4 linked regions of the Neodiprion lecontei genome follow. The protein of the gene in region 1 binds, or shares a complex with, the protein of each later gene. Links are inferred from orthologs where the notes say so. Each region holds a gene or a part of one and is shown in the gene's direction. Other genes may lie near its edges.

Region 1 (9,270 bases):
GAGTTAAGCGTACACCGTTGTATATAAATTTATTACGAAAACCTTTGGACAGATTCGTATCTTATTACTACTTTCTAAGATATGGAGATAATTTCCGACCACACTTAATAAGAAAAAAGCATGGCGACACCAAGGTATTATCAATTAGCATATTCCGCTTCTTTCTTCCTTGTAAGATTATCCTTTGTGAAGATAACATACCTTACATCTTACAGACATTCGACGAGTGCGTCAGACATGGACAACCTGACTGTGATCCAAACAATATGTGGCTTCAAGTTCCGTTCCTCTGTGGACACGAACCTGCTTGTTGGTATGAAGTTTTTACACTTAATATGCTTGGAAATCAATTGACTGAGAATTATTGTGCAATTTCTTATCTTTTATAATCACAAACGTATATTTAGTTGAATGTAATGATTTAATTGATTAAAGGGAAGTCGGTAATCCATGGGCAGTTGCAGAAGCTAAAAGAAATGTAGAAAAACACTACCTCCTAGTTGGAGTCACAGAAGAATTACCAGAATTTGTACAAACTCTTCAGGCTACACTACCACGATTTTTCAAAGGAGCCTATGATCACTTTATGCATAGTAAGACACGTGTTAGATATTAAGGATTGATAATAGTAAAGCATAGCATGTTTTAAAATTCAATCAAATTTTTAATAATTTTTCTAGTCTACTACTTTTATCCACTGGCAATGTCTTTACAATATAACGCAACTACAGTTTGTGATAATTTAAAAAAATCTCAAATCAATTAATTTTTTCAGATAGCAAGTCCCACTTACGACAAACTACCCAAAAAATTGACCCTCTCCCAGAAACTGTGAAGAAAATTCAAAATTCGCAAGTATGGCAGATGGAGAATGATTTATACATGCATGTTTTGGCTCATTTTCACGCAGTAAAAAAGCGTGTTATAAACTCAACGCCGCAGGAAGCGAATCAACACTTCATGTATGAAAAAATCAGACCAAAATGAAATTAAACTATGGTAAATTTAAGAGTATTGAAATATTTTTATTTAGTGAATCGACACTTTGTATCTGAAAAAATTAAACCAGTTGAGTATAAACTTTATTGAATTAAAAAGTGTTAAAATTTTTAAAAATTATTCTTGTGTATGGTTTTCAAGTGGTCTTTCTTGTTTTTCTTTACAATTTCATTCATATCAAAGAATTAAATATTAACAATCATCATATATATATATTTATTGTTGTGTGCAATGTCGGAATTAAACTGATCTATGTGATAATTGTGAACTATTTATTTCTACTGTAGTACATTGCTCACAGAATTCCGTATGATTTTTCTAGGTCGTAATATGAACATATAAACAGGATAAAGACCTCGTGGAAGTCTGGATTGTTTTTGTTCCTTTACAGAAGAAAATCCAGCCAGATCGAATAAACGTTGTAATTCCTTCAGTGGGCGTGTTACTGAGGAATCCTGTGTATCAACTTCAACGTTTTCAGAACTTGTTATATTTTCTTTTACTATTACCACGCCATTCTCTTTGAGTCCTGCCCTGTTGAATATATTTTACAAAGTTACAGATTACTATTTTACATTGTAAATTATACGGTAAATTCTCATTTCCACTGTAAATTACAATACTGAAACAAAATATGAATAGCAAATGTTACTAACTGACAGTGGCTGAAAAATTTTATAAAATCGTTATCTTGTAGATGTCCTAAAACCCATTGACACCATATGACATCATACTTCCCTACTTCAGGACAAAAGTTTTGCAGACCTGTAAGAGTAATATCCTGTAAAGTATTACATGTATTATATGTAAATTATTTAAGATTCTCAGGCTTTTACTTTCATACCTATGGGAAAAAATTCCCCAACTCTTTTTGTACGACCAGCGAGGTAAGTTTTTGCTGCTTCTAGAAACTCGGAATTTTGCTCAACCAAATCAACTTTTTTGAAGTGTTTGGTAAGTAGATGTTTTGATATTCTGCCAATCCCAGAACCACAGTCTAAAGCATATTCTTTTCTCGGAGGATTTTTTAACTGAAACGTGCGTTATATGGAAATCACAGAATATAGATCAAAATATATTTTTGGAATCAGCCTTCAGATGGATTCCAAAATTATACGAAAGCACATGTGGGTTTGAATTTTGAGGTTACGTTCCTAGGTATCTCGGCATCAATGTGGCGAGCATCAATAAAATATTTATGAAACACAATTTTGTGTAAATTTGACTGAATACCGTACCTTGAAGGCTGATCTTAGAAATAATTCCGACCCTTCGATATCTGTGTTCGAAATGAACCCAAATCCTCCTAACATTCCATCCTCTGTGGCTGGGACTTTAGACCAGTAGTTGGCAGCGTCGGAATAAAAATTTTCAGTCCTTTTGTCATTTTTCTGAATATCATCCATTACTAAATTGATATTTTTAAGATTTGAGCACTTTTTCTAATTTGTTATACACATCACTTTCATTGTGTAATTTTAAAATGTACCCGGGTTATTCAATTTTTATATTGTGACTTTATTATGATTATTATTGTTTTCCTCGACCGTTCCAAAAGGCAAACTTATTTACCCGAATGTGTGTGCATCTCAAACACGATTTTTATGGCTGATTTCAAACTATTTCAAATTAGTGGTCAGGTTTTTTTGTATCGTGGTTTGTTGTTTAACAATCGTATTATCATTCCCGGTCCCGTAAAATACGCACGTTAAACAGTTTTCATACATTTACCAGAACTGTTAGTGAGTATTCATCTGTTGTCCAGCGATAACATCGAAATTTAATAATCTGCTTCAACCTTCATTTCAGTTACTAACCGTTGTGATATAATTCAGGACTTAGCCTAGATGAGTCGTTGAGGATTTTAGAAACAGAAAATGAGCAAGTATAGGAGGAAGCAATCGTCGCCAGAAGACAGTGACAGTGACAGCGAAGAGGAGAGGCGCAAAAGGGATATTAAGGAAAGGGATGAATTTGCCAAACGTCTCAAGTCCAAAGATGATACGAAGGTGCGCAAGGTTGCTACACCAGCTGGATCCGGGGCTGGTAAGTTTAGGCAAAATGTCCTAAGTTGTTTTATCAGCTTTATACAATCACTTAGTGGTGACATTCATACACTTAATATTATCAAATTTGCAGCGGAAGCAGCCAAGAGACTTAAGGTTATGGAAACTCAATCTCGTGATAAGCTTATTCCTAAACTTCGCGTCGAATCGCGGAGGAAGTATTTAGAGAAACGAAAGGAAGATAAGGTAGCTGAGCTCGAGGCTGACATATTAGACGATGAATATCTCTTTGGAGATGAGATGTGAGTTTTACAGGAGTAGAATACTTTTCTGGTTGGATTGAAGTATTGATTTTCAAAATTATAAATCAAATTCATTTAACAGCCTGACTGAGCGCGAAAAGAGGGAACGAGAACATAAAAAGCAGCTACTTCAGCTTGCCAAAGAGCATGAGAAGGCGCGTGAAATGGAACGGGTGCAAAGGTATCACATGCCTCATGAACGAGGCAAAGATGCTGTTGAGCCTGAAACTGTTGACCCAGAACCACCGCAATCTGAGCAAAGCAAATGGGAGTCGGACCAGATGTCATCAGCAGTATTTCGTTTTGGGGCAAAAGATAGAAAAGGTAATAATTCTTCTCACAATTATCAGTAAGATTTGCTTATTTATAATTTTTAAGGAATATTTAATTTTTTACAGCTAAACAGGATTATGATCTGTTGCTGGAAGATGAAGTAGAGTTTGTCCAGGCGCTGCAGATACCAGGAAGCTCCAAGCATAAGAAACAAGCTGTTTCTCCTCCGAAGGAAATGAAAGTTTTAACTACCATTGAAGAGACACAGAAAAGTCTTCCTATATATCCTTTTAAAAATGACTTGATACAGGCTATCAGGGATCATCAGGTGAAATTTGATATCTGTATTACGTTACTCTCATTCATTTGCCTTGTACTTTTTTTACTGTAAGATTTATGTTATGTCTGAACAGGTGTTAATTATTGAGGGCGAAACTGGTTCTGGCAAAACAACTCAGATTCCACAGTATTTATATCAGGCTGGTTTTGCTGATGACAGTAAAGTCATAGGCTGCACTCAGCCCAGAAGAGTTGCTGCAATGTCTGTTGCCGCAAGAGTTGCACATGAAATGGCTGTTAAATTAGGAAACGAAGTTGGATATGCTATTCGATTTGAAGACTGTACTTCTCAGCGTACCCGTATCAAATACATGACTGACGGAACTTTACATCGTGAGTTCCTTAGTGAACCAGATCTTGCTACTTACAGGTATTTGTCCTTAAGTGTATGCTTAACTTTTTTCAAAATAATAAAACCTAATTTCTACTTCAAGAAATTGTACAGTCAGTTTAATTTATTGCATAGATCCATGTTTGACAGCAAAAAGTCATTATATAGATCCATATACCTATGTAAGACTACAAGTAAAAGTATCGAATCTGATTGAATTTTCAGTGTGATGATCATAGATGAAGCTCACGAAAGAACATTGCATACAGACATTTTGTTTGGTTTGGTCAAAGACATAACAAGATTTCGTACAGACCTCAAGCTGTTGATATCTTCGGCTACACTAGATGCCACAAAGTTCAGTGAATTTTTTGACGAGGCACCAATCTTTCGCATACCTGGCCGAAGATTTCCTGTTGACATTTACTATACAAAGGCACCAGAGGCTGATTACATTGACGCTTGCGTTGTATCTATTCTTCAAATACACGCTACTCAACCATCCGGAGATGTACTTGTCTTTCTTACTGGTAAGCATTTATTGAATTTGCATTAAGTAAAAAATGTAGTTCGAATATTTTGTTTTTATATTCGTGGCTGAGCTATGTTCACAGTTCTGTAACAAGTTTGACTGTATCTGATAGGTCAGGATGAAATAGAGACATGCCAGGAGATGTTGCAGGAACGTGTCAGAAGATTGGGGACTAAATTGGCTGAGCTTCTTATCTTACCAGTTTATGCCAACTTACCCAGTGATATGCAAGCAAAGATATTTCAACCTACACCTCCTGGAGCTCGTAAGGTAACAAATATTCCATTATGATTTTGAATAGTTGTTTAAACTTCTTCTGTTAATTACAATCGAGCTGGTTATTTGTTAACAGGTAGTCCTAGCAACAAATATTGCTGAGACATCATTGACAATAGATAATATCGTCTATGTGATTGATCCTGGCTTTGCCAAGCAGAATAATTTCAATTCTCGAACAGGAATGGAGAGCTTGATGGTTGTTCCAATTAGTAAAGCTTCAGCCAATCAAAGAGCAGGCAGAGCTGGCAGAGTCGCCCCGGGAAAATGCTTCCGCTTGTATACTGCTTGGGCATATCAGCACGAACTTGAAGATAACACCGTTCCCGAAATACAGAGGATTAATCTTGGTACAGTATATTTTCAAATTGGCTGTCAATCGCAGAGATAGTCTCAAAGTTCATAACTTCGCCAAAGGCAGAGAACAACGAACGTCATTATATTGGCAATTCCACTCATTTTTGTGACACTGACATGATGTCTATTCATCTGATAGAGATATCTCTACAAAGCGACTAGAAATGAAAAATAAATGTTTCAAGTATACGTTGATCTACTTTCCTTGGAAAAACAGAATAATTTTGTATATTTAGACTTAGTATAAAAATCGCATTTTGGATAATTATTGATTCAAAATGTCTGTTCTGGAGTCAGTGTTATACTATTAGGGAAACAAATACTATCTGTGAGAATAACAGCCTAAAATAGGAATATGCAGATCCCGTTAGCGTGTACATGAACAAAATTAATAATGCAGGTAATGCAGTGTTGACATTGAAGGCACTAGGCATAAACGATTTGGTACATTTCGATTTTTTGGATCCTCCACCGCATGAAACCTTGGTCTTGGCATTAGAACAGCTATACGCACTAGGGGCTTTAAATCATCGTGGAGAACTGACAAAACTTGGTCGTAGGATGGCGGAGTTCCCTCTAGACCCAATGATGGCCAAAATGCTCTTAGCTAGTGAACGCTATCGTTGCTCAGAGGAGATAGCGACTATTGCTGCGATGCTATCTGTTAATGGAGCTATTTTTTACCGTCCGAAAGACAAGATCATCCATGCAGATACTGCAAGAAAAAATTTTCACGTTCCTGGAGGGGATCATCTCACTTTACTGAACGTTTACAATCAGTGGCAGCAGAGCGACTTTAGCACCCATTGGTGTTATGAAAACTTCATTCAGCATAGGTAATTTTTTGTCCTAGCTTTTTTATCCCGATCGTGTTCAGGTTCAACGCTCAGTATCTGCCATTTACAAATGAATATTGTAACAATGAATTAAGTATAATTTAATTTTCATTCTTGATAGGTCCATGAAGAGAGCTAGGGACGTCAGAGAACAACTTGTAAGCTTAATGCAAAGAGTTGAAATGGAGTTGATATCTGGTATTGATGAAACAATTAACATACGAAAGGTATTCCTGCTAATTGAACATTTTCACTTGATCTGATTATTTGTTATTTTTATGTGTGTATTGTACATTTGATATTACTTTATAACTAATTTGCAGGCAATAACGGCTGGTTACTTTTATCATGTTTCACGCCTTTCGAAAGGTGGTCACTACAAAACAGCCAAACACAATCAGACTGTTTCCATCCATCCAAATAGCTCTCTGTTCCAAGAACTACCTCGATGGCTGCTTTATCACGAGCTCGTATTTACTACCAAAGAATTCATGCGACAGGTAATGATGTTAGTTAACATTAGTTTGGAAATAAAAATCACGCTTATGTCCAAGTTCTGGAGAAGAACTTAGTTTCTAACTTAATCAATCATTTACAGGTAACAGAGATCGAAAGTAAATGGCTTCTCGAAGTAGCACCCCATTATTATAAACCGAAAGAACTCGAAGATTCGACAAATAAGAAGATGCCAAAAATTACGGGTAGATCAGGTCCTGATGGAACAAATTGATGGGAAAATGTCTTAGTTGGATTAAAATAAGGCTGTGCTTGATATTTGTGTTGATGAAACTAATCAATGGGCACGATTATAAATTTTGTTTCATACTTCATTCAGAGTTGAAAAATTGGCATGCACTTATTTTTGGTATTGTTTACGTATTGTATTTTGTAAATATTAATTGAAGCACACTTGTCATTACTGTACAATAATTCAAGTGATACGACTATGCAGTTGGATGAGTTTTTGAAAACATGATATTTCTAACTGTGACGTACATTAGGAAGTGCGAAGCTTCGGAATCTAATTTACTCAAGGTAAAAAGGTTGATACTGCGTTACAGGTAAAAAGTAAATAAATAATTAAAATATTACGTTATGTACTTTTTTTTTTATACAGATCTGATCTGCAGCTTAATTATGGTAACGGGTACTTGCCTAAAGTGCGATATTTTCCAGAAACGAGAATAGTTGCTATAAGTGCATTGAAGAATTTTGAGAATTTTGAAGAAAATCTTCCCAGGCGATTGTTGCTTATCTCATTCGAGGATAGAGAAAATTATATGGTTGTAAATTTAGGAATGCCAATGCTACGTTTTATTCTTTCGTAATTTAAGGCTGAAAGCATTGAGTAACCATCAATAGAAGGTGATTATTTAATGTTGAAAGTTTCGAGTCCGGTTTTCTAATTAGGGGACGAACGTTATCTCGTCGCATATCTCTATTTTTTCTTCGTGTAGCCAAGTCCTATCTGTCAGGAGCGTCAAAACTCGTGCATATTTATGTATTTATTTGTTGTTGTATCAAATCAGAGTTCTTGCCCCGGGCGGTAAGTTCATGGGCAGGCAAAAAGGAAGAAAGCCAGTTCGAGGATTGCGAACACATTTGACGAAGATATTTTACTTGATAATAGAATATAAAAAAAAATTTGAATATACTTACTTCACATGTTCCTAGAGGTTTTTTCATGAAATTTTTTATTTTCTATCAGTCATGAACGAACAGAGTTAAGAAAACGGGTTCTCTTAGGATGAATATGTTGTTTACATATCAACCTGTAACACATTTCTTCAGAATTTTCGTGTGGGTTGATTTTTTATTCAAACAAATCACATTAACAAAAAATTTTTTGTTCTGGGCTCATGCCCTTATCCCCAACATATTTGAGAAAATACTTGAAGATTCTGAATATTCAATTAATATCTACCAGTTAATTTCTAAATTTTTATGCAGTGAATGTTCATTTCCGAATGAATCACTTCTATCCATTAACCTTCGGAGTACACACCTATTTTTTCTATCACTGAGTATACTCTGGATCTAGGAGACCTCATTTTACAAATTTTTCATATTTTGGGTAAAAATTCGAAAAAATTTGTGTAAAATCTTGATAACATGTAAACTTGAGAACAGAGTCTGATAGACCCTGAGAATTACAGAAATAGATTTTCAGCGAGTACTTCAATTTTCTTCATTCGCAATATACAAATCATTTTGCAACAGATATTTTCGCTATTTTTCACTTGTATTTCTCATTCAAACCTTTGTCATCTGAACATTTTTTACCGTGCCATCTACGTTACATGAAATATCTCAGAATATTCAATCAACTATATCTCATATAATACATAGAAAAATGAATACCATATGAGATTTTAGATGTTTGTAGTTCGTAAAATAATCAATCAGAGAAAACATAATATACTCGTACATTTGGAACTTGTTCAAACAGCGCCAAGTCGGAGCATAGGGCACTATGACGAAACATTACGTCACGCCGCCACACTCCCAGTACTATTATTGCAACACCTACTTTTCTGAAATGCCCGAATGAATTTCCAGAACTTAAAAAAGGAAATTGAGTAGATAATTAGATTAAGTCAGTGGTAGAGGGCGGCAGTCATAGGTCATGCCCACCCCCCCCCTCCCCCACACATGGAAACATCCCAGATCCGGCGCTGATTTTTGATTCTACACCTGTCCAAGTTGTATCATACGATATTATGACAGTATCATCAGTATAAGAAAAAACAATATCATCGGGCATAGTATCAAGAAGATCACTATCATATAATTAACCCACAAATGTCCAAGTATTGTACCTTTAGCCACTCTAGTATGGTAATAAGTTACTATATCATTAGTTTTAACTCGTTGCAGCCCATTACTAAGATAGCTGATAAAAAGCTTATGAGCAACACTTCTGATTCCATAGGTGTTTATTTTATGCAGAAGAATTTTGTGGTCTAATGTGTCAAATAGTTTGGCAAGGTCAAAAAAAAGTTATAGCTGTCGGAAAATT
Region 2 (5,689 bases), on another chromosome or scaffold:
CCATTGGGTTTGAGAGTTTTGTTGAAAAACTGATCGATACTTAGGGTGTACTTTTACCTTTGCCTCCTCGATCTTGATAACACATATGTCTGTCTGATGAAGTAGAGATAAACAACAGTAACATTTTGGCGGGTCTTTATGGGTGACTTTAATCACTTCTGTTAAAAGGCGTTCTGTGAGCACAGACTGGCCAAATTCAAAATAGCTGCCGAAGTAAATATTTCGAGGATTGTTTTTCATCAAATTTGTCTTGCGTAGCTTCTTAGCAAATGGCACGTTTTTTTCTAAAAATTATTAGATTTGCTATCAGATCAAATGGGATTAGATATTGAGCGGCCAATGTTACTTTGAAATCAATTTATCACAGAAACATACCAAAGTAAAAACCGTTCTGAATGTAATACTTGGGAACGTGAAAATCAGTCCATTTCTCAAGTTCTGGAAGCAAAGTCATGAAGTATCTCTTCTCGGGGCCGTAGCAGGGTCCACAAAATTCAATGATTTCGAGACTCCTAAGTTTTTTGTGGTTTAAGTACGGAAGGTCGTCTGTTGCAGGAACATAACAGGATTTCCTTCCAATCATGCGTAGCTCCTTGAGTTTTTGACACATTTGTAAATATTGGACAAACTTTTTTGTATGTGGTGGATGCCATATTTGTATTGACAAATACGTGAGTTTGCTTAAAGGCCCTCGTAGAACCTTGCAGCAAGGTTCAGCGTTATCTTCCATTCGTCTTGGCCAGTCGATAGAGAGTCTCTTTACATGTGGTAATAACTTTAGGAAATATCCCAACCCCTGTACGTCTTCAAATCTTGTGCCACTTATGTTTAAGTCAACTATGTTCACTGCATTGCCGATGTAATCGTTAAGCATCTGCTCCGGCTCTATAAAATTTACATTTCTCAAATTTACTCTCTGAATGTACCTGCTTGCTTTGCTGTTGTCAAAATATTGACGGATGTCAGAAACTGATGTCAGGCGCCCGTCTTTGGAAAAATCTAAATTCCTGAAATGCACAGATAGAAAAATCTTATCACAGATATTGCTTAGTGTGGGATATAATTGGATTTTCGTTGATATACGTATATATTGAATCACGTATGTAAGCTCCATTCTAATATTTGCAACTGAATCATTAAGGATGATTAGGTTGATTGAATTTTTTAACTTCAACTGAGCTGTTTCATTTGATAAGAAATATTAATCTTTTACATGGAATGATGAAAATATGAAGAGTAAATTAAAAATAGGAATTATGTATTCACCTTAATAATTTTTTCTCTTCGAATATAAGACTGTGTAATTTTTTGCATGAATTACCCAAAGGCACACGCTCTCTGGCATTCAAATGGAAGATAATTTTCATCAAAATTTCATTGGGAAAATCCAGAATGTGACAGATGCTGGGCCTGAAACATATTGTTATATAAATTCTTTTGCGTAATTAAAATATGGAAAATATTTTGTTGTTCACTAGTGAGTGACAATACACTCGACAGTGAGATGTCAAAAATTTTCTGGCTACGCCCTCCTAAATTTCAGTTTTTTGAAACATGATTCAAATGATTAAAAAGACATAATTTATTCAAATTACGATATTGTATTCCTACAGTTTCGTAAATACGGTTTGTCAATGTTTGTTTGGGTTTTTTACATACCCAGCACTCATTTTGTTCGATGTCTTCGTCAGCCTGTATGCAATTGTTGATAATTTGCACGATATCGATAGTGACTAGCAGTTCGCGGCTAATCAGGAAATCAGATACGTCAGAGCGGTGATAAGCGTATGATATAATGGGGCTCTTCTTCCAGTGTTCTATACGCCCATTGCTCACATTTGTAAACGGGAATTTCTATTTCAGGGACTTTTAATCTAAAATACGTTATTTCATTACTTCACCTGTTATCAAATATATGATCGACTTGACAATTACGATAGAACGTGAGCGAAATCTGAATAAACAGAACTTCGGGTTATTCAGTAGTAGATGCTGAATCACTTACAGTAGTGAGAATTCAATCCTGATTATTTCATTGAATTTAAATAAGTCGATATTACGTTTATTCAAATTAGTTACGCGCGCGAAAATCGAGGAATCCCCTTGAATTCGCACAAATTTCAAGTCGCGTGGTCATAGTGACTTCAGTGTTGCCAACTGTACTCGAAATTACGTCCAGTTTGGCCGTTAGCAGCGCGCCTAGGGTGTAAATTCGTGTCAAGTTGTAACATTGTAACAATAGCATTCACAGAGCTTTAACCTGAAAAGGACGCTTAAGACTGGTGTTATTTGTTTTCATCTTAACATAACCTGCCCTTCTCAAGTTCACGAACTTTTGAAAATCAAGGACTACGTACCATCAGACGATTCGTACTGCAGTGAAATTGTGTCGATTCTAGAGCTTTAGTAACGGTAAGTACCAATCAAACTGCCTCTACTTGCCGACGCGTTCGTTTGATTCCGACACAAATATAACCTAACCTTAACCTTGACCCAGCGTTACCTGACCCAACATAAAAAATTCAGTTTTTTCACCATAAACTAGTAATCCTCTATTATTGCCCGAAACTTTTTTCTTTTCTTGTTTCTGATCTTTTTTCTGATTATGAAAGCTAAATACCGTCCCACTTGAATCGACATAAAATACTGCATAAACTAGCAATTTATTCACTGCATAAAATCTGCAAATGTGAAAATTTTTTTCCATTTCAAGATTCTTTTTGAGTCATGGTGTGCGAGAAGTGCGAGAAAAAATTGGGTCGCGTAATAACACCAGACCCGTGGAAATCTGGGGCCAGAAACACGGTGGAAAGTGGAGGAAGGAAAGTTGGGGAAAACAAAGCTCTGTCGACTAGCAAGGCGCGATTTAATCCGTACACAGCTAAGTTCGAAACCTGCAAAATATGCAGACAAAAGGTTCACCAGGTCGGATCTCATTATTGCCAATCCTGCGCATACAAAAAGGCCATATGCGCTATGTGCGGTAAAAAGCTGATGAGTACTAAAAACTACAAACAGTCCGCCACGTAGATGGTGCGCAGCAGTGCGTGACGGAAGATTAACAAGACATGAGAAATATCATCAAGATGAAGCTATTCTTTACTGTATTTGAGTCAAAGATTTGTTTTCCTCCTTTTCACTTTTGCCGGGGTATAAGGGAATAACCAGAGAGTCCCAGGGTAATTCAGAATCTGTGCGCAATTCAAAATACAGGGTTTTTTGATTCCTCAAAAATGTAATTTATTTATTCAAGGTACGACCTTATTTTCTTTATATCACGACGGTGGCAGATTTTATAATACCGCACCATAGATGATCGGTTATTGAAAACTTGGAGGTGTAAGAAGGATTATGAATTATGTATAATATTTGGTGCATTAACGCTGCAATTGTTATTGCTGTCTTCCTTATTTTTTTTTTTGTAAACAATGAGATTTATTTATTTTGTGATACAAACATTTGTTACATACTAAGCAATGATAATAATAATAATAATAAATCATGATGTTTGTATAAAATTAAATAAAATATGCAATATTGTATAATATCATAACAATTCATCTGTCTTTTTTTTCATTCCGTTATTCACGCTTATAAAATCGTCATATCCTTATGTAGTTTTATTTTCACAGTAAAAGAATTTACACACCCATACTAACAAATTTTTTTTTTCACGTGTATTTATCGTCGCTTACATAACTGGAGATTACTGAAATAATTATGGTTTTTAACTTTCCAAAAAGTGTACGAAAATATTTTCCATATTAGCCGATATTATTTTAGTCTCGTAAAAATTTCTCATTCGCTATAATGCAATGCGACGAACAAATTTTACAAAAGAAACTGAATCGGGCTTGTGTCAAGTTAAAAACCATCAAGTCTTGTGAAAGATACCCATGTAAATTTACTGAACTGATAACCAATCTTACACATTATTAAATTGTGTTATTTAAATAATGTCTAAGCTGGTCATTTTATAATCTCTTGAAAGAAATTATGCAAATTTGCGTTCTTGGAAAACAACCTCTCTGTGGCACCATGAAGTTTTTCAAAAGAAAAACGAAAATGCGCAAGCGAAAAAATTTCCGTTATATATATAATATGTACATACATATATGCGTTATGTGAATCCAAAGCCTAACAACAACGCATCTACGTTATGGAAGATATAGCAGTATAAATGTTTTTCCTCGTTATACTATTTGCAAATATTCACCCAACCATTATACTATCTGTATTTACTATACACGCGTAACAAAAATAATTGAAATTAACCATCAGGGGTACATATTCGATATACAAAATATAAAAAATCTGTATAATTCTGGCGTAATATTATTTAAGTGGGCATATTAATAAACACCATGAAGGGTATACTGCGTGAATAAATTACAAAGCATATGATAGGTACATTCGCTTATTGAAATTTTCGGTAGTTAGAAAATTTGTAAAAGCAATAATAATAATAATAATAACAATAGTAATATAGATGTTTTTCGATCATGCAAGAACTAAAATTCTCGTTGAAACAACCGAAACTTGAAGTGTCACCAATTTCTGGCTTTGACAATAGTACAAAAAGATTCAAGTCGGGAAGTGAACTATTTAAGAGTCTGCAGTAGCGGCCATTAATCTCATTGTTCGTTAAAACAAAAAATTCAAACTTCTAGCTTCCCTTTCTCTGTTCTCTGGTGATTGTCACATTTTCTATTGCACTAGGAGTAAAATAAAATTGTTTGCATAACGTATTCTATTATCGGTAACGTCCGCGCACCTGCTGATCCGATGTTACGACCCCCTCAAACTTAGGCGTAAATATATTTCTAAGTCGATTAGTTATTATTAATATTCCTCAACGGCTGTATGACAGAGGACTAGTTATAGCTATGATGCAAATATACATACACTAGACGTATATATTTTCTCCCATATACGATGTAGGTATGTACAATACGGTATACATTAATAATTAGTTCACAGATCTTATACAGTAATCACAAGAATTAATCGCACTTCCACAATTATAAATACGAATTACAATTAACCAGCGCATCGTTTGATTTGATACAATGTTGAAATATTTGTACGCCGTGTGTGCGTTCTTACTTAAATCTGGTCGAGGTGAACTTGACTTTTGTATCATAGTTAAAAATTAAAAAGGAAACACTAAAAAAATATAACAGTACAGTAATTTTCCTTATATTATTCATGGGTGAGAAAATTTGTTGTAAAAGTATGTGTTTTTAAAGATTTCTGCTCCTCCCTTATTGTTCAATACTCAATTACTTATTATTTACGATCTACATTTGATCAAATAAAATTTGCATCGCCTGTAATGTGATACTTAAAGATAAACAATAACATGCGTTGCACACACTGGCCTTTATTTACAAAAACTCAATCATACTCGAGTTTTATATTTTAATATGTTTAAATTACCTAACTCTTTTTTCAAATCTATACGTACCTATACATTCACATATACATTGCAACCTTACTCGCTATACAAGGCCGCACACGATCACAATACCAATAATAATTTGCGCACTCTTTTCATACTCATATACCCATACTCCGTCATGAACTTCGTTTCTTTCTATGTACTTATGGCACGTGGCTTGAGAGGTTCGGGTACGTATCTTTACCTTCCTAGTAACGGAAGATAGTCATTTTCCATTCCGACATCTAA
Region 3 (7,811 bases), on another chromosome or scaffold:
ACTTAAATAGCCTCTCCTCCAGATTGATCCAGCTTATCTGTTCGTCTATCCCTTCAACGTGTCGCATCAACATACTGAGGTCGTCAGCGTACTCTCGAATGCGTTTTGCGTCATCCATATCATCGAGAATTACTAGTTTTGGGAAAAACTTGTCGACTTCTTCGTTGAGCACATTTATGCGCCTCTGCAGTTCGTCTTCTAGCTCGCATTTTGTCGCCTCGCATAGTATTGAACTTTCTTCAAACACTGGCCCGATTTTAATGAGCCAATTTATCGTTTGCCTGTTCAGCTCCAGATGCCAGTCGTCCAGAGTAGCAATCCCTATTAAGGAGTCTAGCATTTCAATTGAGCACCGAATCTTCTCTTCAAGTTCCCCAATTAGTACGCTGGAAGCGTATGCCATGTATTCAGTCAGCAGGAATAGGTCTTTGGCGTTATTCGGTACGTTCAATGCCTTTGTTGTCAATTTTTCGAAAGTCTTGCAAATCGACTTATTGTACTCTTGATGATGCCTCACTAGCTCTTTGACAACGATGTCGACTATTCTTGCGGCCTTTGATTTCAGAATTGACTTTGCTGTGGCTTGTGCAAGTTGCCCAACTGCGTAATACTCGTTCGCAACCATATCGTTAGTTTCTTTTATGAACCCAATGAATCTTTTCACTTCAACGCAGCATTCGTGGAACTCGCGGTATTCACTAAGAAACTCCACAATTTTCGCTTCAGTTTCAGGTCTGCATACGACATCGAATTTACTCTTGTGTCGGGCACAATGAGAGTTCACAGGGTGAAAGACTTTTTCTAGGACTGTTTGCAGTCTCTCGTGGGCTTCGTTTCTGAACCATTTTGGCAGTTTTACGTCCATGTAGTTTCTCTTGGTTTTTATCTTCAGATAGTACTCGAAGGGAGTAATTTCCTGGCCTAAGTTTGCCACATCCTCTACAATTTGGTGATAACTTTGGTAGATCTCCTCGATGCATGGATTCATCACGAGTTCGCAATTCGTGTAAAAGAGCTCGAGCTTTAAGCGTGGACACTGATGTGGATCACCCAGAACTTCAATCAAGTCTTCTATGGTCATTATCATGCGATTCAGGATTTCTTGGACAAACAGTCTTGTAGCGCAGCGTAAGAATTGCGTCAAAGTTTTCACTATGCAGGATAGATCAAGATACTTTGGTCTTTTTAATAGTTTTGCTACTTCGTCGTAATAACGCCGCATTATCAGAAGCCCACTGTTCCGAAGATCTTTGGCAACGGCACCCTTCAGCTTGTGTAACTCCAGTAGTCCCAAGCTGTGATAGCGAGAAAATTCTAGGAACTTGTCCGGAAGTCCAGAGTATGCCTTGGCTTTGATCACCCTAATCAATTTGTGGGATAAAAAATACTGTCCTCTGATAAAGTAACGATTTTTCAAAAACGTTTCATAATTTTTTGTCCGGCCTTCGTGAGCAAAGGGAGTCCCGATTGGTGAGAGATCAGGATTTTTTTTCCTTAGACTTGGATGCAGTACCATTTTAATTCCAAATCCATGCATTTCTTCGAGATATTTCTGTCTCGTCTCGTGGATTATTTGTTCCACAATGTGTGGGTATTTGAATCTGATACTTTCGGGGATTAGTCGCAGAATGTTTTCTTCCCACTCTATCGGATGTTCAACTGTAGGTATAGAATTGCCATAAAATTTTGCAATCTGGATGTAAAACGATTCTGGTAACTGGAGGCGTTGGTAACGTGTCTCAATACTATTATTACCCACATCCCTCATCAATAATTCTTTGGCACGCAAATTATCGGCAGAGCTTGCAATTAACTCAACTACTTCACGCGTTCGCTCTTTCTGCGTACTAAATTTAAGTAATGGATTTTTTTCGTAGTCCTTACTTGTAAACTGATTCAAATTTGGTATCGGAGGTCTTCGCGGCACCTTTGTCTTGCCGTAGACGAGATTATAAAACTCTTGTTTTTCCATGTCAAATTATTTTTCTTGTATTTAGTAATTTTAGTCAATTTAATGTAAGTCTATAAGTTTATTTTCAGTCTTTTATTACATCATCCATGCAAGTCTAGAAAAAACGATATATCGTGCAAAAAACAGTGGGACGAACTTTGAATTACTTCGCTATATGTTAGTTTAATTAATTTTACCTTACACGCGCGTATATAATTACGAACACAACTTAAGTATATTCGTTTTGTTATTACTATATGTACTATAATTTTTAATGGAAAAATATGTGTGCGGTGATAAGAATTACTTGTAAACCACGACAGCGAACTGATGTTTGGTCAATAATACCTATATGTTCTTCTTTGTCTTGCAGTGTTACGTCAGTAGTTACTACGGTAAATAAGTATACCTTGTAATTGGTTGAGTTATCGTAACTATTATCGAGCATGATTAAAAAAAAACAACACGTTTCTTGAGCATTTATGCATTAATATGGCAGATTTACGAGTCTGTTATGCTACAGGAGACCCGAAAATCAATCTCTGGAGAAGTTGGTGGTCTTAAATTCTGTTCATAAAACCATTTGACGCAATAGTCAAATTAAATGAATTGATTTGAAATCACAGCTTCCAGCATGGCGTATTTTTGATGCCCAAGCTGTTAATGAACAGTAAACAATTTCTACGTACGGTTTGTGTGCCTAGAGTTTCAAACTTGAATGAAGGATTCTTTTGTACCGACGTATCAAGTGAGGTGTGCTAAGGGGCTAATTTTGTTTAAGAGTCTAAGACTTACCAACGGATGGAAGTATAGACAATTTAGTCCTCGACCAATGAATGAGCTCGATGAGTCCATCTGTTCCTGTATGGAAATATGAAAAGTCTATAAACTACTAGACACTAAAGTTTTCAAATATTTTTGCATATGTTGAAGATATTTGACCACTATGAGTAACATATACATACAAGAGCCGCCTACAACAGGGAAGGTATGAATCCAAATAACTTTACGAGTCTGCGACAAGAATACTGAAATATAATCTGCGCGGAACAACTTAACCTCCAATTCGTACGGATTTACTGTTAAGATTGTCGCCGAGAATAAGGATTAACAATTGTACAAGTCGTTTTAATATGGTTTAAAAGCAACCATCCAGTTTATTCATACGAGTATTTCATACCAGCGGCAGTTTTATAATGCATGAAGTTCGCTTTATCTCATCGTCAACTTTATATCGGCAGTGAATGTTGAGGTCTTGCTTATAGCATATAGGCTGAATCTTAAATTTTTCTAGGTGATACTGCAGACCACTGTTGGCGAAATAGACTTAGAATTATGGACTAAGGAGGCACCAAAAGCTTGTAGAAACTTCATACAGCTTTGTTTGGAAGGTTATTACGATGGCACAATTTTTCATAGAGTTGAAAAAGGTTTTATTATACAAGGTGGCGATCCCACGGGGACTGGGGAGGGTGGCGAGAGTATATACGATGGCCCGTTCAAGGTATGGCACTATTTTAAACGTCGTCTTCAATTGTATCATTATCTATTGAGGTAGAATTAAACTGATCTGTCGTTACTCAATTACTGTTGAGCATTTTCAATGAGAAATAGAAATACGCATACAATATTTATATCGTACTTGCATACAAGTTGAAGAATTTTCTTTATTCATTACAGGATGAGTTTCACAGCAGATTACGTTTTTGTCGGAGAGGCTTGCTTGCAATGGCGAATGCAGGAAAAGATGATAACGGTTCTCAGTTTTTTTTCACACTGGCAGCAACTCCTGAATTGCAAAATAAACACACGATATTTGGTAAAGTTACAGGAGAGACAATTTACAACATGCTCAAACTTGAGGACACATTGGTCGATGAGGTACTGGGAATTTTTTCGTCATATTCCCATATGGAAGTTGAGAATTTTTGGTACGTTTAGTAGTTCGTTTTAAAGTATCCATCTCTCAAGTATAAAATGCAAGAATTGAAAAAAAATTTTCATCTTTAACGTACCAAATGTGACATTCATTTTGACGATTTTCCTAAATTTTTAAAATACGATATTCATTCCAGAACGATCGTCCATTGTATCCGCAAAAAATTGTTAAAACAGAGGTTTTAAATAATCCATTTACCGACATCGAGCCTCGAGTTGAACCCAAACAAGTTGAGGCAGAAAAGCTGCAAAAGAAAGAGAAAAAATCTGGCGTGAAGTACTAATCTTTTTTACACAATTCTAGAAGAAGTTTTTACCTTGTTAACATTGTTAATATTTTTGCCGTGCTGAAACCTTGTAATTGCAGAAATTTCAAACTTCTGTCTTTTGGAGAGGAAGCGGAGGAAGATGAAGAGGAATCTGTTGTTTTGAGCAAACAGTTTAGCACCAAGGGAAAATCAGCTCATGATAATTTGGCCGATCCTAAGCTTAGTTCAGAGCTTGCTATAGACAATGGTGAACCATCTAGTAAAAAGATGAAAGGAGATGAGGATAGTGATTCGGAGAGTGCAACCGAAGAAATATCACTCGATGAGATTGCCAATCTGAGTAAAGAAAAGCAGTAAGCAATGTTTATTTTGCGAATTCATCTACAAACTAATGACTTTTTAACTATCGGACTTTACTCTGCTAGAGCTATGAGAGAAAGGATAAAGAACAAGTTAAAAGACGCTAAAAGTACATCAGATAATAAGAAACCAAAAGATCGGAAGATCGATGAAGTTCAGAACATCGACAATGATGCTGAGCCCGAAGAAGAAGCTTATTACTTGGGCAAAGATCGTGATGAAGAACGAAAGAAAAAAGCGTATGTAATGAAGATGATATATTTTTCCAATTTTGAAGTAGATTGAGATTGGCTGCTGGTACCTCTTTTAACCGTTTAAATTAATTTCATTATTGCTTTTTAGTGAGGAGATACGAAAGGAAATTCGAGACTTGAAACGCGACGTCAGAAGTGAAAAAAAAGCAAAAGAAGAGGAAGCCCAGATACAGGTGGAGAAAGAACAGGAGAAGGAAAAGAAATCTAGCGTTTTAAGGGAGTACATAGAAACCCAGGAGAAGTACAAGGAAGCTAAATCGAAATTGCCAAAAAAAGGTAATTCCTCCTCAGAGAGTATAATTCTAATACAGTGTTTTTACTTTTCTGCATTCTTACAGGCGCATCCCGAGAAAATTTCACTCTGCAGCTATTACAAAAGTTTCGAAGTAAGCTACAAAGCGCTAAGGAACAGGTTGAGGAGTCAACTGAAGTCGCGGAAAAGAAGAAAAAACCAGATAACCAAGACGATGACGGTTTTGACGACGAGAAATGGATGGCGCACACTTTACGGTTCGAGGAAAAAACGCCAGTTTTGGCTAAAGACGCTAGTACAAAGGCCGACGATTGGTTCGAGATTTATGATCCGAGAAATCCGTTGAACAAAAGAAGACGCGGTGAGAAAACACCAAAATTGAAAGACGGTGAACACTCTCGGCATAAATAATAACTATAAAACGCTAACGAACCGTATAGACTTCCAAAAAAGTGTCGTTTTCAAAATTGACAACCAGTTTCCATTGATCTTGATTATAAATTCCAAAACTGTTACAAATCGAATAAGCGTCATCCATTTAATGCAAATCTGATTCAACATTCGCAATTCGACAACCTAAACACAGGATTTGACTACAAATTACAAATGGCATTCGCTAAATGTAATATTTTCTTTATATGTATACATACTTACTGTACAAGCAACTCACAGTGTACATAATTCCGCTACCAGTTCCCGGTAGCGCAAATATTTAGTTTCAATTCAGGTAAAGCGGTGTATTATTAAATTATTCTGGTGGAAATATTTGCATCGCAACATCTATTTGCAATGTTTGCACTTAAAACGGGATGATAATCAAACGATGTAGAAATGATATAGTATACGATCATGTATCGATAACTCTAATCCAATGAATAAATTAATTCTTTTTTCTAGAGGTACATTTCATGTCGGATACTACACTTGTTTCACCCCTTGCACGTTTTATTTGCCTAATCAGTGTTGCGATGTGTGGCGATTAGCATGTCAACGACGGCCATGTTCACTGTCAAATATTTCTAAATAATTTCTTCACAACCAGTTCGTAGACGTACCTTTTTTATTCTACTGGCAAATAAACATTCGTTCGGTAGTTAGGCCAGTAGTTCGACTGGTCAAGAGTCAATTCAAGATTATATGCGGCACTGATAGACTGTTGTGACGTTGTATGAATGTTAATGAAAGAATGTAAACACGCCGAAATGATGAAAAACACAGCGTGGGAAACGCCGCACGCGTAAGATAAGAAAAGATCACATAATTCTGCAATGACTTGACGGTTCAGGATTATACGTGCAATCGTAAAAGAGATTTGAAATGTATGAGAGTAAATCGAGAATAAGCGGGTTGGTGAAATTTTTAATTTTGTTATTCTTGTTGTTATTACCCGTTACTATTGTTATTTTTATTATTATTATTGCTATCTTTTAAATAGCCGATGATATTGCCATGTAGTTATAGTATTTGGATCTGGCAATTACAGCGAAAATCTACCATCGCTCGAGAACCGATCGTATAGCGAAATAAGATAGCTATAGACGCGAAATTTATTAACGTCCCATAAAATGCCTTATACAATTTATACACACAGTAAAATTTATTTGCTTGGATTTGCGTGATTTGCAATTGGTCGTAATTGTGTTTGCGAAGCGGTTCCCGCGTGCCGTAATATAATCCGTCCCTAATTCTACTAGAAAATAAACAAATCATTTTTAAATGGCAGAATATTTGTAGGTATGTAGGCAGTCCTGATATCGCGAGGGAAATCAGTCGTAGCGATTGTGAAGAAATAAGCGTTGAATATCTGCGGATTACCGGTTCTATCTGTGTTATTTTAATGCACGTATGTGTGGAATACACATAATGGTATACCGTCATAATCTATATAGACATTTGAAAATTGATAAGAGAAAACGACTAGTAATAAGTTTGCGCGGGATAAAGCGTCAGTCAGCCAGTAGACAGCGTTCAGTGGAAATCTATTTCTTATATAACTTCCTGCCATCTTTACACGCACGCACGCGCATAATATATAATGTACAAACTTATAGAGGAGACGATAAGATCGCGTAGAGCGTAAAAATTATCAGCGCACGCTCGCTGTCAGATAATTCGTCAGTTTGTATTTAGCCCGTTTCGCTGGACCATCTAGTACCGCATTATAGTTTTTTCTTTTTACTTCTTTTTTTTTTTTTTTCAAACAATATTCGAGAACAACCGAATGCATAAATTTATTCATAATTGATATTACTGATTACGGACACTCGCTGACTAATGTATTTAACATTTTGATGTATATTTATATTGTAGTTTTGTATTGTTTTTATAACTGTGTAGTTATGTAGAACTGACGCATCCCACGATTTATACACGTGAAAGCGGTCTATTCTGAAAACGATAAATATTTTCTATATATATAATGAAATGCGCGGGTCAGAACAATACATGCGCGGAAATCTTATAGAGTAGGATTTCCTTCGAAATCAGTCGATGTAGAGAGAAGAATAAAAAAAAACAGCATTGAAAATACCTTCGAACTAAAGTGATCGTGAGTTTTCAACATCGTCAGCCGGTATCGTAATTGTAAATGTAAATTGCCAAATGTGTGGTGAGTGAATTTACCGATTGCGACGCTAAAACTGCACATGGTATAAGTTGATCGTGTAAAACGGATGGACTAAAACCGAGAAAAATCATTTGAAAACTTGCATCCAATTAGCGATCGATTTAAAAGAAGTAAAAACGTATTATTAACAACGCTGGTTTCAATAATATTCTCGTCTCGT
Region 4 (9,137 bases), on another chromosome or scaffold:
TGACATACTTGAACGAAACATAAACATATAAAATAATATTCACATCAATCAATAGATGTAGCACATGAAATATATACGTAGCAGGTACTGATTGAACAGTTACTTTTTGTTGAACTTAATTAGCACTTGATTACTCTTCACTTGCCTACCATCTTCTGATGATTAGTTCGATGAAATATGTCACAGAGTATTAGCATGACGAAGAATAAGATCTTTCTCCAATTATCATACGCCAGGATTGAACATTGGAAATAACAAACGTAGGAAGCTACTTAGACTATAAAAAGTAATAATGTAAACGGTGAATGATGTACGATTAACACTCAATATTAAGCTTGACAATTTGATAAAAGTTACATTACAAGTAGAAATTGAGAGTAGCCTCAATATCTAATTTATACAATACTTTATTTGTGATTAAATATATGTAAAAATTTATTAATTATTATTATTATTTTTATTATAACAATAAATCTAGAATTATCGATATGTGAACCAGCTTAAGAAAATCAGTTTCTACTTAAAAACAAACGATTGTGTCCATTTTTTTTATAAGGAGTGACGAACAGCTTCCTAACAAAAATGAAAAGTTTTGAAATAAGTCTCCAATTGAATCAGTTCGTAGTACTGTTGGATCGGCTGGATTTTTATTCTTCATTTGAGAAGTCTGACAGACGAAGTTCAATCAAAGTAATCTAAATACAATACCATCATTTTATATTCCACAGAAATGTAACATTGAATTCATTTTAATCGATCGAGAATGAGATCGCTCGTGGAAATAAAGCCTCACCAATTAAGTGCGATTACAATATCAAAGTATTGCTACAAGCAAAAAAATTGAAACAAGATTAAAACGTTTTTTCAGAAAAATTAGACAAAGTTTCTAGAGAAAATGGGTGAAATTTCCAATATTGCTGGGTACATTAGTCCTACAGCGATTCAATAGAGCTTCAGGAATATACCGATGATAGATTCTTTTAAAAATAAAGGAAATAATGTACATACTATATACAATTCGTGAGTAATTCTAAAGCAGGTGCCAAACATGTTGTATGTCATTGATAAAAGTGTTGCAGGTCGTTAATTGTTTGACAAGTATTCGGATAACCTGTGCTTGCCGTTGCCTTGATACATATCAAGTATCAAGAAGCGTGTATTACGACCGCTGAGCGAATTGTGCAAACAACTGTTTTGAGACGTAACGATGCAAATTTAGCACATGGAAATATAGAGCACCTGTACTTGCTAATGCGATATATAGAATGCAATGCGTAAGGAAAAAGAATGTATATAAACAGCAAAAACGATGTACGAAAGTTGGGAAGACTTACATGATCTTTGGATTCTAACCACAAACTAGGAGCTAATAGCGGCATGTAAATTGTGACGGCAGTTTTGAATCAGAATTATGTGAATGAAATGTTCGCTTGTTCCCTGTGTTGAGAGCTAAGTAAATAAAAAGTAACAAAACGGATCAAGGTGGAATGATGAGTGGCAGATTAGCGAACTATACATACGTTGAGAAAATTAAAAGCCGAATAAGAAAATTGTGAGAGCAATGTAAAAAAAAAAAAAAAAACATCAAATATCAATGGGACGAGGTATCCGTAGGTATCGTGAAATTACGTGCGTGTGTGTGTCTGCTTGGAAATATTTTATTCGAGCCCATGCTAGGTATGTACGTATGTATCTACGTCTAGGAGGTGAGCTCACGAATTTGCGGTGCTGTTCGTCCGGTGATCGAAAACGTCTGCAGATTGTAGATATCGTAGATATGGCAAAATGCAAATTAAACGGACAACACTGATTGCGAGCGGGCGATCGAGCACGTTGACATGAGAAACGACAAGCCAACTAGATAGATAAGTTAGCGAAAGGGAATTAAGGCAGGAGCGAATTTGTGCATGTATTACCTAAACGCACTCACACAGTGCAGACTTGTTTTCAGTTGCAGTTAGTCTGAAAAAATGATACATAAAATGAAGAATGAAGAGTAGGAGAAAAAAGATAAATTACAAAAACCACTGAACAAAGAATCGAGACATAGTGCGAAAAAGAGGTGACTGTGTTTTTAACCGCGGTGTCAAACGCGAGGGAACCTGTGACCAGTAGCCACGGGGAGACAATCACATTGGAATATGTAATAAGTATGTACCTTGTGTATGAAACGCGTAGGACGGCGTGTTTGCAAACAAGCAAATAGCGGCGGTCGGAACTGGCGGCTGATCGCCGGTATGCTTGCCGGGTGTCGAGGTAAACGTTAAACACAACGGCGAGAGCTCGCCGGATTTGGATAATGGAGGTGCTGCACCGCCGCGACGTGCAGCTCGGGTCTTCAGACTCCTCTGGCTGAGGCCTTGGAGGCCGCCCCAATAACCCGACTGCGAACCCAACGCGGCGTCCTGAACCTTTATTAATCACCGATTTACTTCACGCTCTCATTTGCTCACTGCCATAAGATACCACGAGCCTAAAACATACGCCGATACCCTCCTTTACCCCGTTTTTGCTAATGGACTATTTTTTATTTTCATCGGAAGCTCCGCTGCTGCTGCTGGCTGTTGCTGTAACCAACCAAAGAAAACACAAGCGCACAAAGGGAAGAATTTGAATCGCCCTCTCCTGACTGACCCCCGGAAGACTGCTGCTGCCCAGTTGTTCTCAACCAAACGGCTTATTGTCGTTTACACGCGGCTTGATGATTCTTCTTGACCGACCGAGCTTGCCCTTTCTACAATTCTTCCAATTACTCCTTAGGAGAGTTATCAAACCGATTTTTACTCTCGCAACGAGTTGATTGGGAAAGAATATAATCATCGAGCATCGAGCTATTCGTTAAATTTGGGGAGAAAATTTACTACGACGGGAATATCGGCGCTACTTCGTGCTCAAATATGGCGGTTCTATTTACGGACTTTGCATATTTTGCTTATAAAAACAGCCCACGCTCATAAAACTATGACAGTATGGATGCTCCGCAGTTTCAAGTGAATCGTTAAAAATTTAAACATCAATTTTGTTTCACTTGACACCGAAATGATGGTGTTGTTCGCGAAATTGTTAATCGTCGGTATCTGACCAATAATAACTAATTTCTTTGGCAATTCTGTTGAACATTTATACCTTAAGTCTGGCAGCACTTACGCTACTCCTATCAAGTTATCAAATATGAGAAGGAAAATATATTCAGTATTTTCCTTCTCAATTTATTCGGGAAACTATATTCCCAGTTACCGACCATCCATTCTCAAAGTCATCGAGTGCCAGGATTGAACATCACTGCCGGAAACACTTCCCAAATTTTGAAGCGCTTCACTAGCGTTCCTAGAGTGACTTTGCTTCCAGCAAGTGACACAGTCGTAGAGAGCGCTTCGAACGCGTGTGTTTATTGGACTTTATTTTGACAAGTTAACATATAATAAACTTTTTCCCTTTGATCGAATAACAAGGAAACTATCACCATGGGGAAGCGACAGCATCAAAAAGATAAAATGTAAGTATTTATGAAGCCCTTTAAAACCTTCTTCATCAGCAGTGAATTGTATAATCTTCTATTACAATTTTGAGGTTATGGTCGAATCAATATTTGGGCCATGTTAAAGTTTAACATCGTAATAATGATCTCACAATCCCGATGTTCACTTAAACTGCCTAACTTATGAGACGACCTTGTCTCATTGTTATGAACACTTGATTATATTTATTTCAGAGATGATGAATATGCAAAAATTGACAAAACCTTCACCGTAACATGAACTTTCATTCAATTTCTAGTTATCTACCTTTTACAAATGTATTACTTCATTTTCCGTACATTCTTACCAAAATATACAATCAACTTAAATCTGGCAGGGTTTGATCTACACTCCCGAAGAATTCCGATTCAAATTTCACTATAAAGTTGGAGACTATTAATTTTTCAACTATATTTTAATACTTTCGTCCTGCATGCAATTTAATGCAATTTGAATGATATCTAGTCGGGTTTTCCAGAAAACAAGAAAGCCTTTACATAAATGCTTGCAGGAATTCAGTCAATACTGAAACTATTGAATTATTTAGGGGATTCTAACAATCTTAGCATCTATATTTAATTTGGTAGTCAAATTAATCAAGGACATAGTATAAATGTAAAATGTTTAAAAATCATATTGGGTTTACATGGCAACATGAATAAGTTAAATCTAATTGTTCACTTTAGGTACCTGACCTATACGGAATGGACAACATTGTACGGTGGCAAGAAAGCGGGAACATTAGAATCAACAGAGGACACAACATTCCGTCGTTTGCCGTACAATCATTGCTGCGTGAGCCTGCAACCCTTTGAACATCCGTACTGCGATGTGGATGGAAATGTGTTTGAGCTGCAGGCGATCGTGGATTATATTAAGAGGTTCAAACATAATCCAGTGACAGGAAAACCTCTAGATGCCAAATCTTTGACTAAATTAAATTTCTATAAAAATGCTGAGGGCGAGTATCACTGCCCTGTTCTTTTCAAAGTATTCACTAAACATTCTCACATTGTGGCCGTCAAAACAACGGGAAATGTTTATTCCTATGAGGTATGTCAGGCTAACTGGAATTTTTCCAGTGCAATATGCTTTGTAAATATTATTTGAAGGTATGAGTGTAATAGAATCTCAATTAGTCGGTTGCAGATGTTGCTGGTGGCGAATTATCCGTTTATGCCCGCCATCAGCAGTTGAGAATATTGCGACGAGTTGTAGTTACTGATTTTCAAAGAAATATCTAAGTTAATCAATTTTGTTATCAACCAAAATTATAGAATTTCATTAAACGTTTGTAAGATTTTTTATGGAAATCTTCCTAAGAGGTCAAAATACGTTACGAATGTGTTCGAGATGAAAATAAAAATGTATATCTGCCAGATGTGGTTCTATCTAGTCTAGGTAGCAAAGTTTCGTCTGTTACTTGAATTCTTAATTCCAGGCAGTTGAGCAGTTGAACATAAAGACACGAAATTGGAAGGACTTGATAAACGACCAGCCTTTTGAACGGAAGGATCTAATCACTATTCACGACCCTAGCAACGCAAACAAGTTCAACTTGTCTACCTTTCATCATATTAAAAACAATCTGCGAGTGGAAGACGAAGGTTTGATTTTCTTTTGTGGAAAAATTCTTACTATATTACACCATCTCATGGGAAATAAGTAAAGCATGAAAAGAACAAAAAACTTGATGCATACTGAAAGCACTGCTCAAATGATCTAGGTATCTTCGGTTGTAACATTTATGATCTTACAGCAAACTATTAAGAGCATTGCTGTATTCAGTAATAATTTAATTTATTGTACAGTGAGACGTCAATTGTTCAAAATAATTAAAGGACATAGGTATTTACCAAATAGAAATAGAATAGGCTTAATAGAATTTATGTATTTAATATTAAACTCAAAAAGAAAATAATTGGAAGACAGTTTGTGGAATCCAGAATTGACCATAAATTAATTTTTTTGTCACTTGAATTTGCTTCTAGTTTCTATACTTTATCATTTAGATATGCCAATTTTATGACGATGCTCATAAATACTATTTTTATATACTGCAGAGATAACAAAGGAGCGCAAGGATCCCAATGCTAAACTAAAAACTGTATCTTCTGAAACCAGAGAAATATTGGAGGAGTTGAACAGAGAATTCAAGCCTGTGGAGCCTAAAGATACGTCCACTAAAGATAAAGCGGACAAGTTCAATGCTGTAAGAGAGAAGACAGTGATAATCCTTTGTCGATTACATAGCATACGTTACGTACCTTTCGATATATCAGCTTGTTTACCTGGCCAAAATTCATCTCGAAGTCTTTATTCAGTGATGAATTGTTAACCAATATATACGGAGCTGTAATGACTGACATGACCACGTAGATATCTTCAAAGGCCGAAAACATACTTATGGCTGCATTGTTGTGTTACTTCAGGCACATTATTCTACGGGAGCTGTGGCTGCAGGCTTTACATCGACTGTAATGCCAAGAGAAACGACACATGAAGCAGCGATCGTAGAAGAAGATTTAGTACGATATGAACGGGTAAAAAAAAAAGGTAAGTTTTAGTGCACATGAATATATTGTAGTAGTTTTCAATTAATGCAATTTTCATGCAAACATTTTTCCGCCGGTATTTTCAGGCTACGTACGGTTCATTACAAACTTTGGATCCCTAAATTTGGAGTTGTACTGCGATGTGGTTCCGAAAACTTGTGAAAACTTTATGAAACATTGTCAAGATGGGTATTACGATGGCACCAAACTGCACAGGTCTATTCGAAACTTTATGGTATGATTTTACAATGCATATTCATCGCAAAATTCAAGTTATAATACGAGCATTGATGTATGGAGCTTCATTTTCGGTGCAGATACAAGGAGGGGATCCCACAAACACTGGCAATGGCGGGACGTCAATTTGGAGCAAGCCGTTCGAAGATGAATTCAAACCAAATTTAGTTCACCAGGGACGAGGTATTTTGTCAATGGCAAATTCTGGTCCCAATACCAATGGATCTCAATTGTAAGTCTGTTGATAAAGAGTACAAAATGTTCAGTACTTCACTCACTGGACTCACCGAACGTATTTACCTTGAACAAAATTATTTTTTTACAGTTTCATAACTTACCGATCGTGCCGTCATTTAGATCGGAAGCACACAGTATTTGGTAAAATTGTTGGAGGGTTAGACACACTGAATGCGATTGAAAAAATTGAAGTTGATAACAAAGACAGGCCGATTGAAGATATAATCGTACAGCGTGCCCAAGTCTTTGTTGATCCTTTTCAGGAAGCTGATGAACAATTAGCAGCTGAACGGGCCGCTGAAATCCAAAGATTAGCACTAGAAGAATCAAATAAAAAATCTAAAAACAAAAATGAAGGAGGCAATGTACTCAAAGTGTATCGTAGTGGTGTTGGCAAATATGTGCAGTTCAATGACGAACAAACAAAGTAAGTATTTTGTCATGTGTTTAAAAAACCAGGAACTCATCTACATATTTAATGTTATTTATCGACTGATAAAAGAACAAAAATATATATTGGAAATTATAAAAGTCTAAGAAACTTCTATTGTTTTCATTACGTTTCAATAGTTTTCTTTGCATCTTTTGTCCGACCAAATCAAAATATGCAATAGAGCAGGGATCACTAATAATATCATTAACCCAATATACTTCACTTATTCCATATCGTACATATTTTTCATATGAATTTAAAATTTCTTGACAGTATCAAATCATAGTGGTGAACAGTCTTAGAAAACCTTAAAATATCCTGGCGTTATAAAATCCTACAATCATTCTCAATCGGTTTTATTTAATGATTTTCTTTGCTTATACTAATATAACTAATAATAAATAATACATTCGACAAATAATATCGAAATATCTTTACTAGTAATTATTGAACTTTACAATTGTATGGTTTTTGCAGGACTGAAAAGGTAGACACGAGCAGTGAGCCAAAACCTAAGAAGATTAAAGATGCATCTTATACGTTTAAAAATTTTTCTGCGTGGTGAAAGAATATCCTTAAAAATACATTGTAATTATATTCATGAATTGTATAGTTTTATCAGTGTTGAATATTGCCCACAAAGTTGAAAATATTCAAATTTTTTAAATATTTTTTTTTCAACTCACTAAATATAATATTAAAAAAAAAAAAACTCAACGCTTTATTCTAATACTAGAAATTTATCCGTTATGTTAGCTTGCCTAAGTCTGTTACACTGCAATATAACTGAAACCAAAAATAATCTTCTGAATCGAAAATAGTCACCAAAAAATATTTGTCGGCCATATTAACATCTTTAAATTTGCGAGAAGATTATTTTCATAAATAATAAAATTTTCAAAAATGAAGTATTGTATTTCGGATTGCTTCAAGGCAGTTTTGTCATCTGTGTTTGCATATGCTGTGTCAGGGGTCTGGATTTTTTTTGATTGCAAACACTTCATAACCAACGGAAATAGTTGAAAACAAGTTTTATACATGCTACATTATTGAAAGATGGAAAAAAAATGTATACCAATTACGGTGAATTAATTTATAATATAAACTACAATTGGTAAAATACAATCAGATATTTATTATACGTAATAATTGATGAAGCACATAAATCAGGATGGAGAAGTAAAATACATGTATCGCATACAAGCGTCATTAAATCGGCATTCATCATTTTCTATAATAGTATCATAAGTCGAGTAATTCGTTCTCAGAAAACAATTATGTATGTATATTAGGCAAAGGCAGAGCTGGGCTCCTCCATGTTTGATGTTTCGCCGCTAGTCTCTTATCGAAATCCTTCCATATTGTCATCGGTGACGTACCGTCTTCGGATTGTGGCCTTTTGCAATCAGTTTTTTAATAACAGTGCCTGTGAAATAGTGGCCCGGAATTTCCTCGAGGCAACTGGTCAAAGCTATGGATGACTTAGGTAAGTACTTATTAATTTAAATAATAAACAGTGACAGAGATAACCTCAAATGTCGCACTTGCTGATTTTTAGGAGTGTGCATGTTCTGTTTTTGCGAGAGTTCATTACATTCGTCCTGTACCAGGTACCTTAAACACGAACGAACATTTACATACGTTCGTACATTCTCTCGTTTGCAATTCAAACGATATTGCATAATGTAACCAAATATTCCATTATCGCCTTACAGTGCGCATTTTGATTGATGCGTCTCCGTCTCGTTAAATACGGCGGGAATTTTCGAACTGTTACTAGTGTTGAGCATGCAGAAGCGATTCATGAAATTGCTGGAGTATAATTCAACGTAACGAGTATGTAAGCTACAGCAAGCTATGCTCTGTAAATGTGTTTGTAGAATGATTATGAGTATGAAGTTACTTACGTTACTGTAACGATGCATGTCTAAGAAAAATCGTTACTTCGCATCTTTAGGAATATCCGAGATTTAGTAAACCATTATAAACAAAAAATACTTTAATTTTGAAAAGCCAACTCCTTGAAAGTAATTTAAACATTTCCCAATAATTATATGATTTTTTAGCACAAGCTTTCGTAACGTTAACGTTACTAACTTCAGCCTGATGAATGATTGATGAGATTTTTGTTGAATTTATAAGGTTCAACTTAATAAC

Evidence for each region.
Region 2: probable pre-mRNA-splicing factor ATP-dependent RNA helicase mog-4 (region 1) and cysteine-rich PDZ-binding protein share a complex: the UniProt entries of both Homo sapiens proteins name them as parts of the minor spliceosome. The link is inferred for Neodiprion lecontei from reciprocal best matches to the Homo sapiens genes DHX16 and CRIPT.
Region 3: probable pre-mRNA-splicing factor ATP-dependent RNA helicase mog-4 (region 1) and spliceosome-associated protein CWC27 homolog share a complex: the UniProt entries of both Homo sapiens proteins name them as parts of the minor spliceosome. The link is inferred for Neodiprion lecontei from reciprocal best matches to the Homo sapiens genes DHX16 and CWC27.
Region 4: probable pre-mRNA-splicing factor ATP-dependent RNA helicase mog-4 (region 1) and RING-type E3 ubiquitin-protein ligase PPIL2 share a complex: the UniProt entries of both Homo sapiens proteins name them as parts of the minor spliceosome. The link is inferred for Neodiprion lecontei from reciprocal best matches to the Homo sapiens genes DHX16 and PPIL2.

What each region holds. Positions count from the first base shown.
Region 1 is NC_060261.1:34,123,661-34,132,930, forward strand, and holds probable pre-mRNA-splicing factor ATP-dependent RNA helicase mog-4, read left to right. Parts: upstream 1-2,600; 5' UTR 2,601-2,741; intron 2,742-2,808; exon of another isoform or gene 2,809-2,834; 5' UTR 2,835-2,876; coding exon 2,877-3,045; intron 3,046-3,138; coding exon 3,139-3,307; intron 3,308-3,389; coding exon 3,390-3,631; intron 3,632-3,705; coding exon 3,706-3,908; intron 3,909-3,993; coding exon 3,994-4,289; intron 4,290-4,475; coding exon 4,476-4,780; intron 4,781-4,894; coding exon 4,895-5,052; intron 5,053-5,134; coding exon 5,135-5,408; intron 5,409-5,815; coding exon 5,816-6,251; intron 6,252-6,372; coding exon 6,373-6,478; intron 6,479-6,574; coding exon 6,575-6,751; intron 6,752-6,849; coding exon 6,850-6,981; 3' UTR 6,982-7,342; downstream 7,343-9,270. Other genes in the region: heparin sulfate O-sulfotransferase, read left to right, coding at 1-134, 216-313, 436-593, 776-987; N-terminal Xaa-Pro-Lys N-methyltransferase 1, read right to left, coding at 1,278-1,533, 1,656-1,764, 1,844-2,030, 2,238-2,405. UniProt on the Homo sapiens protein: Required for pre-mRNA splicing as a component of the spliceosome. Contributes to pre-mRNA splicing after spliceosome formation and prior to the first transesterification reaction.
Region 2 is NC_060264.1:28,956,403-28,962,091, reverse strand, and holds cysteine-rich PDZ-binding protein, read left to right. Parts: upstream 1-2,226; 5' UTR 2,227-2,412; exon of another isoform or gene 2,413-2,679; intron 2,680-2,713; 5' UTR 2,714-2,727; coding exon 2,728-3,030; 3' UTR 3,031-3,553; downstream 3,554-5,689. Other genes in the region: uncharacterized protein LOC107218174, read right to left, coding at 58-284, 376-1,007, 1,267-1,410, 1,660-1,670. UniProt on the Homo sapiens protein: As a component of the minor spliceosome, involved in the splicing of U12-type introns in pre-mRNAs. Involved in the cytoskeletal anchoring of DLG4 in excitatory synapses.
Region 3 is NC_060260.1:40,537,953-40,545,763, forward strand, and holds spliceosome-associated protein CWC27 homolog, read left to right. Parts: upstream 1-2,801; 5' UTR 2,802-2,897; coding exon 2,898-2,939; intron 2,940-3,245; coding exon 3,246-3,455; exon of another isoform or gene 3,456-3,497; intron 3,498-3,593; exon of another isoform or gene 3,594-3,631; coding exon 3,632-3,832; intron 3,833-3,966; exon of another isoform or gene 3,967-4,026; coding exon 4,027-4,166; intron 4,167-4,256; coding exon 4,257-4,511; intron 4,512-4,583; coding exon 4,584-4,757; intron 4,758-4,860; coding exon 4,861-5,048; intron 5,049-5,110; coding exon 5,111-5,436; 3' UTR 5,437-5,944; downstream 5,945-7,811. Other genes in the region: dynein axonemal heavy chain 7-like, read right to left, coding at 1-1,659, 1,885-1,972. UniProt on the Homo sapiens protein: As part of the spliceosome, plays a role in pre-mRNA splicing. Probable inactive PPIase with no peptidyl-prolyl cis-trans isomerase activity. As a component of the minor spliceosome, involved in the splicing of U12-type introns in pre-mRNAs.
Region 4 is NC_060264.1:9,676,319-9,685,455, reverse strand, and holds RING-type E3 ubiquitin-protein ligase PPIL2, read left to right. Parts: upstream 1-3,353; 5' UTR 3,354-3,464; coding exon 3,465-3,496; intron 3,497-4,204; coding exon 4,205-4,571; intron 4,572-4,959; coding exon 4,960-5,125; intron 5,126-5,581; coding exon 5,582-5,730; intron 5,731-5,950; coding exon 5,951-6,074; intron 6,075-6,159; coding exon 6,160-6,308; intron 6,309-6,390; coding exon 6,391-6,542; intron 6,543-6,635; coding exon 6,636-6,974; intron 6,975-7,457; coding exon 7,458-7,545; 3' UTR 7,546-7,745; downstream 7,746-9,137. Other genes in the region: ubiquitin-conjugating enzyme E2-24 kDa, read right to left, coding at 1-6. UniProt on the Homo sapiens protein: Has a ubiquitin-protein ligase activity acting as an E3 ubiquitin protein ligase or as an ubiquitin-ubiquitin ligase promoting elongation of ubiquitin chains on substrates.